2 linked regions of the Caenorhabditis elegans genome follow. The protein of the gene in region 1 interacts with the protein of each later gene in a pairwise test. Each region holds a gene or a part of one and is shown in the gene's direction. Other genes may lie near its edges. The genes, in order: lev-9 and F57B9.8.

Evidence for each region.
Region 2: the proteins of lev-9 (region 1) and F57B9.8 interact in a two-hybrid assay, tested with the Caenorhabditis elegans proteins (one large-scale study listed by BioGRID).

What each region holds. Positions count from the first base shown.
Region 1 is NC_003284.9:6,288,522-6,293,834, reverse strand, and holds the start of lev-9 (Protein lev-9), read left to right. Parts: upstream 1-2,285; 5' UTR 2,286-2,307; coding exon 2,308-2,488; intron 2,489-2,553; coding exon 2,554-2,736; intron 2,737-3,285; coding exon 3,286-3,413; intron 3,414-3,465; coding exon 3,466-3,541; intron 3,542-3,610; coding exon 3,611-3,784; intron 3,785-4,161; coding exon 4,162-4,420; intron 4,421-4,474; coding exon 4,475-4,635; intron 4,636-4,679; coding exon 4,680-4,784; intron 4,785-4,831; coding exon 4,832-5,014; intron 5,015-5,313. Other genes in the region: mom-1 (Protein-serine O-palmitoleoyltransferase porcupine), read right to left, coding at 561-708. UniProt on the Caenorhabditis elegans protein: Scaffolding protein that is necessary to cluster acetylcholine receptors at neuromuscular junctions.
Region 2 is NC_003281.10:6,932,844-6,936,932, reverse strand, and holds F57B9.8 (Tyrosine-protein kinase), read left to right. Parts: upstream 1-1,613; 5' UTR 1,614-1,654; coding exon 1,655-1,711; intron 1,712-1,758; coding exon 1,759-1,977; intron 1,978-2,022; coding exon 2,023-2,187; intron 2,188-2,234; coding exon 2,235-2,546; intron 2,547-2,590; coding exon 2,591-2,875; intron 2,876-2,925; coding exon 2,926-3,222; 3' UTR 3,223-3,272; downstream 3,273-4,089. Other genes in the region: coq-2 (4-hydroxybenzoate polyprenyltransferase, mitochondrial), read right to left, coding at 35-156, 201-367, 683-789, 833-951; Cell adhesion protein byn-1, read right to left, coding at 1,280-1,405, 3,298-3,531, 3,580-3,675, 3,722-3,866, 3,918-4,007, 4,056-4,089.

The sequences.
Region 1 (5,313 bases):
ATGACCAGATATCATGTTAAAACTTTTCAAAAAATTTTAGAACCTTTTTTCTGACTGTCAAAATGTGGCAATTTTTGAGTTTTCGCCAATATTCGAGATAAATATAGCACTGTCGCATGCTCGAATCCCTACAATGTTTAAATATTAATGTTTGAAACAAGAACATAAAATTCAAAGGAAATTTTTTCAATAGACAACTTTTAAAGATGGATGCAGAAACTGAGTTTTTACCACTTATTGAAACAAAATAAGAAGTTTCGTAAAGTGCTAATATAATAGTTGGCTATTTTTGCACCATAGAAGTCGTTTTTAACAATTTCCGCACTGGCGTTACTCCACTTAAGACTACCGTCTCACCATGGAGCTCTTATCTCTAGCTAGATCAGTCTTACTTTGTGAAAATTTTAGTCATTTTTTTTTTGGCAAGATTAATAAAGCAAGCACATGTGTTTTCCAATTTGAACATAACAACAAATTAGAAACAAATTTGTTTGAAACAAAGTTTTTAAAACATTTTGTTAGGTATTTTTGTCTCAGTTTATATTTTTATCAAAACTTACGTATATGTTTGATGAATTTGAATGCAACGACCAAACATATCAACTTTGAAATTGTGAGAAATGTTGCATTTGCCACTTGTGTCGAGCACTCTCCAAGCGATCCATCTTCTAATAATTCGAATTCTTCATACCCGTGACCATTATCCATTTTCTGAAAATTTTTGAAATTGATGAAATATTAACGATTACCAAACGGCAAAAAAACTAAAAAGCTAGAAAAAACCTAGAATTAACCCAGAAAACCCAATTCAAACCAAAACAAAAACAACTGTCTGTACGAGTGAAATAGAGCGAATTTGCATAGTTCTTGCGTCTAACAAAAGGGGACAAATGTAAACGAGGCTACGCCGGAATGTGGGGAGAGGTCACACACAACAGATGTGCCTTGGACATGCAACCAAAGTTTTATGGTCGGATCGGTCAAGTGAAGTACATTTAAGCGTAACATGGTAAATCAAACAAATGGAACCAAAAAAAGTATAGTTTTGTTGGGGGAAGATTTGAGTGTCCCTAAAAGAATTAAAGTTTTATTTCGGAGATTGCGGTTCATTTTTACAACGGTCAGCACTATTGTTTGATGAGTTCATTTTACAGATATGTGATGAAATTACAAATTACATATTTAAAATGAAAAAAGACAAGATAACAGTTTTTGCAAAAAATAATGTTTAAGATCATCTCTTGTTTTCTCAATAATAGAGAGCAATAAAAAACCATTTTCCAAAAAAAAAAAAATGAAATTAGCTGCACTTTCTCGTCCGCGAGAAGCTATTTTTCTTCATCTCAACAGCAAACCAACAACTCGCAGAACACCCCCCCCCCCCCCGCTTCACAGGAACACCTCGCGGGGAGGCAACCAGTTTGTCAATGGGTGAGAGAGAAAATGTATGTATATTCACTTGCGTCTCTTACTCAAATGCCGTACGGGGGTATAGCTCAGGGGTAGAGCGCTCGCTTTGCATGCGAGAAGTCTGGGGTTCGATTCCCCATACCTCCAGATATTTTTTTATTTTTCAAAATGATTTTTTCACTTGTCCAATTTATTCCATTTCGAGAATGTTTTTTGCACTTTTTTTAAAATTCAACTATGGGGAAACAGTTCTGAAATAGCAAGCATTAATTATTGTTCTAAAAGTGCGGCGATTTGACAGAAATTTTCATTTTCGGCCATCTGCCGAAACTAAACTCAATTTGCCAAATACTTTTTAAGGGATTTTTCATAAGCAAAACATTTACAATTGTAACCTGTTTCCTGTTTTTTTATATTTTTCAGTCTACCAATTTTTTTGCAAAATCTCAAACTTCCACAATCATTCAAACCTAAAAGGCGATTTCCAAATAGGACGTTTGCCAAAAAATATGATTTGTCGCCCCTGCGATAAACTTGTATTTCTTCACTGATATTTCTCAAAATTCTCCCCTTTTTTGAATTCAAATTTTGGAGAAAAATAAAATAAAAAAATAAAGATTTTTCTGTAACCCTGTGAAAGTTGTGAAAACCGCAAAAATCACATCAAAATACCTTCACCTCTAATTTTTCAGCAGTCAGTTCCTATTTGCCACAATGTCCCGCAGCAAATAATTGATCAGACAAGCATGATACTCGAGCAACTTTACAATGGGAACCCTTGAAAAGACCCCAATCAATCAATACATTGCGTGTCAGCTGGTGAAAGAATGCCGTCTTGCAAGAACTCAAGCGGATTTCTCTTTTAAAATTTTCATAGTACCAAATCACATGAATTAAATGCGATTTCTACTACTACTCGCCATCTCCATTACCTACGCGTCGGCCCTATCTTGTCCGGAAGTTACTCTATCACAACGGCCGAAACATTGCAAAAAAGAGTGTATAGCAGACGAAGATTGTAAAAGAAACAAAAGATGTATGTGCGACGGAGAATGTGGCTTGAGCTGTGTGAACCCAAGTGAGTGATAAAAATATCTTGTCTATTGAGCAATATAAAAAATGAACTTTTTTGTTTTTATTCAGTTGCAATGTGCCACCCACTTCCAAATATTGAAAATGGATTTATACGAACTGCTGGTGATTTGCGATTTGGATCAAATGCAGAATATGGATGCAACAAGGGATATATACTAGTTGGTGCCAGTCAGAGAAGATGTCAGGCTAACAAAGAATGGAGTTCTTCACAACCTGTTTGCAGGTTACAATGTATTTTTTCAAGTTCCTTATTTAAAAAAATTATGTTTACGGGTTCAAAATAAAATAAGAAGATTTTTTAAGTGCACAAATAGTTAAACCTAAGTTTTTTGAAAAAACAATATAAAGATATAACAAAATTTATAGCAAGATAAACAAAAAATCAAATGCACTAAAAGATAATATCAAAATATCACCAATTTTGTGAAACAAACAATTTCAAATCTACTTTACTCAACGAAAAAAGATTTCAGCTTTTATCGAGCAGTTGATAAATTTAGTTGATTGGTGGCGGTGAGCTGTCAGCTGTCAAGTGGTTTAAAATTTAAAAAAAAAACGGTTAGGGGTATTCAGAAATAAATTAGCCTTACAAAAAAGGTTTTCACCACTAAAGTTCAATCTAACCAAATCAACTTGATTGAATACCAAAACATCGATCCAGAATATCTAGGAATTTTGTTTAAGAATTTTCTAAATTATGTGACTACAGAATTGCATGATTCCTCATCCAATGCTTTACGTTTCTTATCGACACTGCCGTATAATCCCAAAATATTTCAGTAAAATGCGGGCCACCACCGGAAATTCCATTTGCCGTTCACGACGGGTCTTCATTTTCCGGAGAGTATGACCTTGATGCTGAAGTTGCTTATAATTGCATACCAGGCTATCACAAATTCAACGCAAAAGTGAGACTTAAATCAAAATTCTCCATTTTATCTTTAAAAATAATGCTTACAGGGTCTTTCAATATCAAAATGTCTGTTGAATCGGAAAAATGTTGCACAATGGTTTGGACCTGATTTGAGATGTAAAGGTAAAACTTTGAAAATTTGAAAAAATGCGAAAAACTTAAACTTGCCCAATAAGTCAATGCAACTTTTAGCAAGAGCATGTCCGGATCCCGGAGATATAGAAAATGGTCTTCGAGAGGGAGATACATTTGAATATCCCCATCACGTCAAGTATTCATGTAACCCTGGTTTTCTTCTTGTCGGTTCGACTTCCCGTCAATGCTCCAGTAACGGAGAATGGACAAATGAGCCGGCTAATTGTAAAGGTACACTTTGAAAAAATTGAAAAAAAAAAACAATAAAAATGTTTTGTTGGTAGCCAGTTTGTTTTATTGAGCAACAAGTCAGTTTCGTTCGCTGGTGGCAACCGCAATATATCCACAGTAACCCTAAATCTTACAAAACTCTCTTGAGTAGAAATTGTGTGAATAGTGTTCCATGATCTGTGTGCGCGGACCACTCAAAATACCCAGAAAACGTAAGATGTTCGGGCGATAGTTATCCATCACGGACCTCGATAGTTGTACCACACGTTTTATATAGGCCACAAAAAAGATCAAAAATCAGAATACATAAGGACATACTGAAATACACTGCAAATTACCTATGTTATAATAAATTAACAACTCATAAACTTTTCCAGCTACTGAATGCTCTCGTCCGTCAAGCCCACTTCATGGAAAAGTTGTCGGTAGCTCATTGACATACCAGTCCGTTGTGACGTACTCCTGTGATCATGGTTATCGCCTCGTTGGTCAAGTTCAACGAATATGTTTAGCTGAGGGAATATGGGGAGGAAATGAGCCGCGATGTGAAGAAATTCGATGTTCAGTACTTCCAACCCTTCCCAATGGATACATTGAGGGCAGTGAAACGTCATTCGGAGCTGTCGCAGTTTTCAGGTAACGATTTTCCAAATCTAAACAAATTTATGTTTCTTAAATGTTTAAATTCAGGTGCTTGGAAACAATGACTCACGAGGGAGCGTCAAAGGCAAAATGCATGGAAGATGGTCAATGGAGTGCTCCGATTCCAAGATGTTTAGCTTCTTGTAGAGTACCACATATACAAAATGGAAAAATAAGAGACAAAAGCGAAGGTCAACTCATTGCGTCCGGTAGTTGTTTTTCTAAAGTTTAGAATAATTCATTCAAGTTTCAGGTTCCAAAGTGATTGTTGAATGCAATAAGCAACACGAAGCAAACATCGATGAACGCCTAATTTGTAGCAATTCCACATGGTCACATGTTCCAGTTTGTAGTCCTTGTAAGTTTAATTTTAAAATAGCATAAAACCACAGCTTTTCTTTTCAGTAAGCTGCCACAATTGGCCGCCAAGGGTTCCACATGCTCGAATTCTATTCTCGAAATCATCGCACGGCTCAATCGCCAAATATGAATGCAACAATGGTTATCATCCAAACAGAAATAATCAAATTATAAAATGTCTTTATGGAGAATGGACTAAAGACGGACCACCAATGAAATGTTTACCAAGTGCGTTACTCACAGGCCGAAAAGTGGTACACATCTGTCCAATTTTTCTACCGCATACTTTGACGTAGAGGTGTCAACGTGTTGTGGGCCGATCCAAAACTCAGTCGCAGGCCGACACATTACCACCTCTGATCTTTAGACGCATTTTTCTCCAAAAAGGGTGATCATTTGTAAATGATGTATCAAACCACAAGAAACATCATAATGATTGGATCAAACATTTTTTCCTTTTGCTCCGTTGCACTGACTACTTGCATTTGCGCTGATCACTTGCATTTGCACTGACCACTTGCATTTGC
Region 2 (4,089 bases), on another chromosome or scaffold:
CCTTCAACTTCGTAAATATTTCCACCGGCCTTACCTGTACCAATTCAATTGTAGCAGAATAGCAAGCGAAGAACTGAGAAGTCCTGCCAAAAGCCCAATTGCTTGCTTTTCAGTCAACGAGCCACATGCTAATGGTCTTAGTTTCGTTCGTTCAACCTGAAACAGTTTTCGGTTTTTTTTTACTTCTCATTTTGAAAAACCTTCTTATCAAAATCCTTATCCCACAAATCATTGATAACACATCCGGCACTTCTCATCAAAAAAGCACCAGCTCCGAACAAAGAAAGCATGTAGATAGATGGTAATTGACCAGCTGGAGTTGCCATTGCTATGCTCCATGTGCATGGCCAATACAGGAGCCAGGTACCTGAAAAATAAACGTTAAGGACTCAAATCAAACCAATTGCGCACGTGAAAATTTTTGCGCCGAAAGTACAGTACGTGGTCTCGACACGACAACATTTTGTTGAATGCAGAAAGGTGCGTGCCTTTAAAGATTACTGTAACTTCCAAACTTTCGTTGCTGCGGAATTTTCATCGAATTTTCAAAATCGATTAAAACTACAGTACTCTTAAAGGCGCACATTTGTTTGTATTTTACAAAATTAATCGCGTCGAGACTAGGTATCGTATTTTCGGCGCAAAACTCCCAAAACTTCGCGTCTGTGTAATAATAAATTACCGATAGGCTTGTCGACTCTCATCAGTTGAAGATATGGCTTCAAATTTGGCGGAGAAGAAGCAACAAGGCTACTTGCAGTTGGTATCAGTGACATTGGTTGTTTTGTACTAAAATTATAACAATTAAAATTAAAATTTTCGAATTCTGAACCTAGTGGAAATCCATCTTTTTGTTGATTCATCTAAACTATATGAAGTGCTTGTATTTGATCCAACAATGCAATTAATCGAATTGGATCTTCTAGCGATACCTATTGACCTGGTTATCATTTTTTTTTGACGAATCTGAAAACTTTCTCTCGTCAAAGACATGATAACATGAATTTGAAAAAACAAGCATTAAGTTAGGGACGAAAACCTTTGCTCTTTGAAACTAATACTTTGTATTTAGAAAATCAACAACAATTTCATTTGAATGAGGAAGAGAGTAACATAACCAACAATGATGAATAAAAAACAAAGAAATGAACAATTTTTGGGGAGGGGCGCGGGGAAACGAACAATAATGGAAATAGAAGAAAAGAGCAAAGCCTACGTGCAGAATAGAGTGAAAGCGGGAAATATTTCTCTTCTGCGTCTCTTTCTGTTTGTGTGTGATTTAGAATTCCATACTATCCGTCTTTCGGCCTTCGACCACAACTGAAGTGATAACATGTCCGTCTTCGGTTTCCTTGGATTCGAGCTCACGGCGAATTTCAGGCGAGATGAGATAGTGTCCATGGAACTATAAATTGAAATTGGTTAAAAACAATGGAAACATTGAACTCATGGGACCATAAAACTTCGGAAATTACCTGACTTAAACTTTATAATTATGAAAAAAAAATTTACGTGACCAATGATGTGAACCCATACGCCAGGAAAAAAATTAAAAAAAAGAAGAAAACACGCATAAGATCGATCAGAAGTGAAATTTTAATCATTTCGATAATCGTAGAAATTAATTCTACACTCTTTTCACATAATTGGCGCAATGGAGATCAATGAGCAACCATTCTTTCACGGACTTCTTCCACGAGAAGAAGTAAAGGTAATTTGAGAGTAATATTTATTTAAAAGGAGCACCGACTTTTTCAGCTTTTACTTCAAAAAAATGGCGATTATCTGATGAGAACGTCAGAGCCTCAAGGACAAGCACGTCATTTGATCATTTCGGTGATGCAGAACGAGACAAGTCAAGAAGTTGCTCATTATGTGATTCGTACAAGCGACGGAGCATATTCAATCACTGATAAAATTAAATTTGGAACATTGACTGAGTTAGTAAATCATCACAAACAGGCTAAAATTAGTGAGGTACGAGCGATTCATGCACATTATAGACTAATTATTGTTGTTCAGGAAGTTGCAAGCAGTGTTCTAGTGAATCCTATCGGTAGACAATCATGGGAACTGAATCACGCCGATATTACAATGACAAAAGTTCTTGGTGAAGGTGCTTTCGGAGAAGTAAAGCTTGGGACGCTGAAAATGGGATCGACTACAGTAGATGTCGCTATAAAAGTTGTGAGTTGGACTAGACTTTTATATAAAAAGTAATGACGAAACTTCAGGCAAAACTTGAAAAAGTGACTAAAGAACAAATCAAGGAGATCATCACAGAAGCACGTCTGATGCGCGGATTCGATCACAAGAACGTTGTAAAATGTTACGGCGTGGCTGCAATCGATGAACCATTGCTAGTAGTCATGGAGTTAGTTCCTGGTGGTGCTCTGGATAAATATCTTCAGAAGAATTCATCGGTACAATGGCCTGAGAAACTGGATATAATCGCACAAGTGGCAGCTGGTCTGGCATACATTCACAGCAAAAACATTATACACAGGGACATTGCGGCCAGAAACATACTCTATGGAAAAGGCGTTGTATGTTATAAATAATTTAAAAGTTAATAACTAATAACGTTCAGGCTAAAGTCTCTGACTTCGGTTTATCTCGAGTTGGAACGGAGTATCAGATGGATCCGAGCAAAAGAGTTCCAATCAGATGGCTCTCACCAGAAACGATCGTTTCCTTCCTTTATACTCCACAAACTGATGTGTTTGCTTTCTCGATTCTCTGCTGGGAGGTGATCGAGAATGGAGCTCAGCCGTATCCGGAGATGTTGGTGGTGCAGGTACATCAGAAGGTTGGACGCGATGATTACCGTATGCCGATTAGTCAAAAGGCTCCAGCTATGCTTGCCGATGTTATTGTAAGTTCTATTTCATTCCACTATTTTCATAGCAATGTGGAATTTTCCAGAAAAAGTGCTGGATTCGCGATCCTCAACAGCGCCCCACTATGAGCCAAGTTGTCCAGATGATGTACGAAATCACAGGAAAGAAAGATAAAACCTCGGTCAACAAGTCGACAGGACAGCTCCGTGCAAAAATGATGTCTACTGGACCAATGTCAGATCCGATGAGAGATAAAACTGCTAAAAAGACTGGAAGACGTAACAAGAAGAAACCGTCAAGCGCATCGAACGGTCCAGGTGGCAACTCTGGGCCTAGTTCGGGTCCATTGTCTGGTAAGGATTCGAGACTGAAGAAGCCATGAAAATAACTCTCCTAACTAGATGTTCTCGTGATAATAAAACTCGAAGTTTTAATAGTTTTTAAAAATTAAACTTACTCTGATCAGCTCATAAATAGCTGCCTTCTGCTCGGCATTCAAATCGTTCTTGTATCGCTGGCACAGTGCCAAAAGACACTGATGCCACAAAACTGGCATATCTCGTTCATCGGTTTTCAGACGAATGAAGTGATTAACGACTCCGTCGACTGCACGATACGGTAAAGCATACTTCTTATCAATGAGAGCTCGAAGAAACACGGAATTAGCTCCAGTGTATTCCATTTCGGCAATCTGAAATATCAACAGGTTTTTGATGAGATATTTTAAAACAAAAGTTACCCTAAGCATAGCAGCAGCGGAATGAAAAATTGGAATCGGGACTTTGGTGAGGACAGAGCTGAAGATAACAGCTTCACGAAGTGTACATGTTCCAGACTGAGAAAAAAAGAATATACATGAAAAATATTTAAGTTAAACTCACTTCTAATAATGGAAGAATCAATCCTTTGAAGAAAGCGGCAGGCTTGTAGATAGCTTTGCAGAGGGCTTGATACAGATGATAGTTAAGTTTCTTGAATTCATCAATGTCGTCACGAAGACGTGGGAGAAGAACAAGAGTGTAGAATCTGAATCAAACGGTTTTAGAGCTGATATATCTAAAATCGGCATTTAAATACCTCTGACACATTTTTGGGTTCATGTTCGACGCAAACAATCTTGTGGCTTGATACATAGCAGCAGCCGTCCAAGTTTCAGGCTTTGTGAGGCTGAATATGTTTTATTTTATTCAAATCCGATACTAACAGACAACTAACAAAAGAATTTGCTCCCAGTTAATCATTTTTGGAA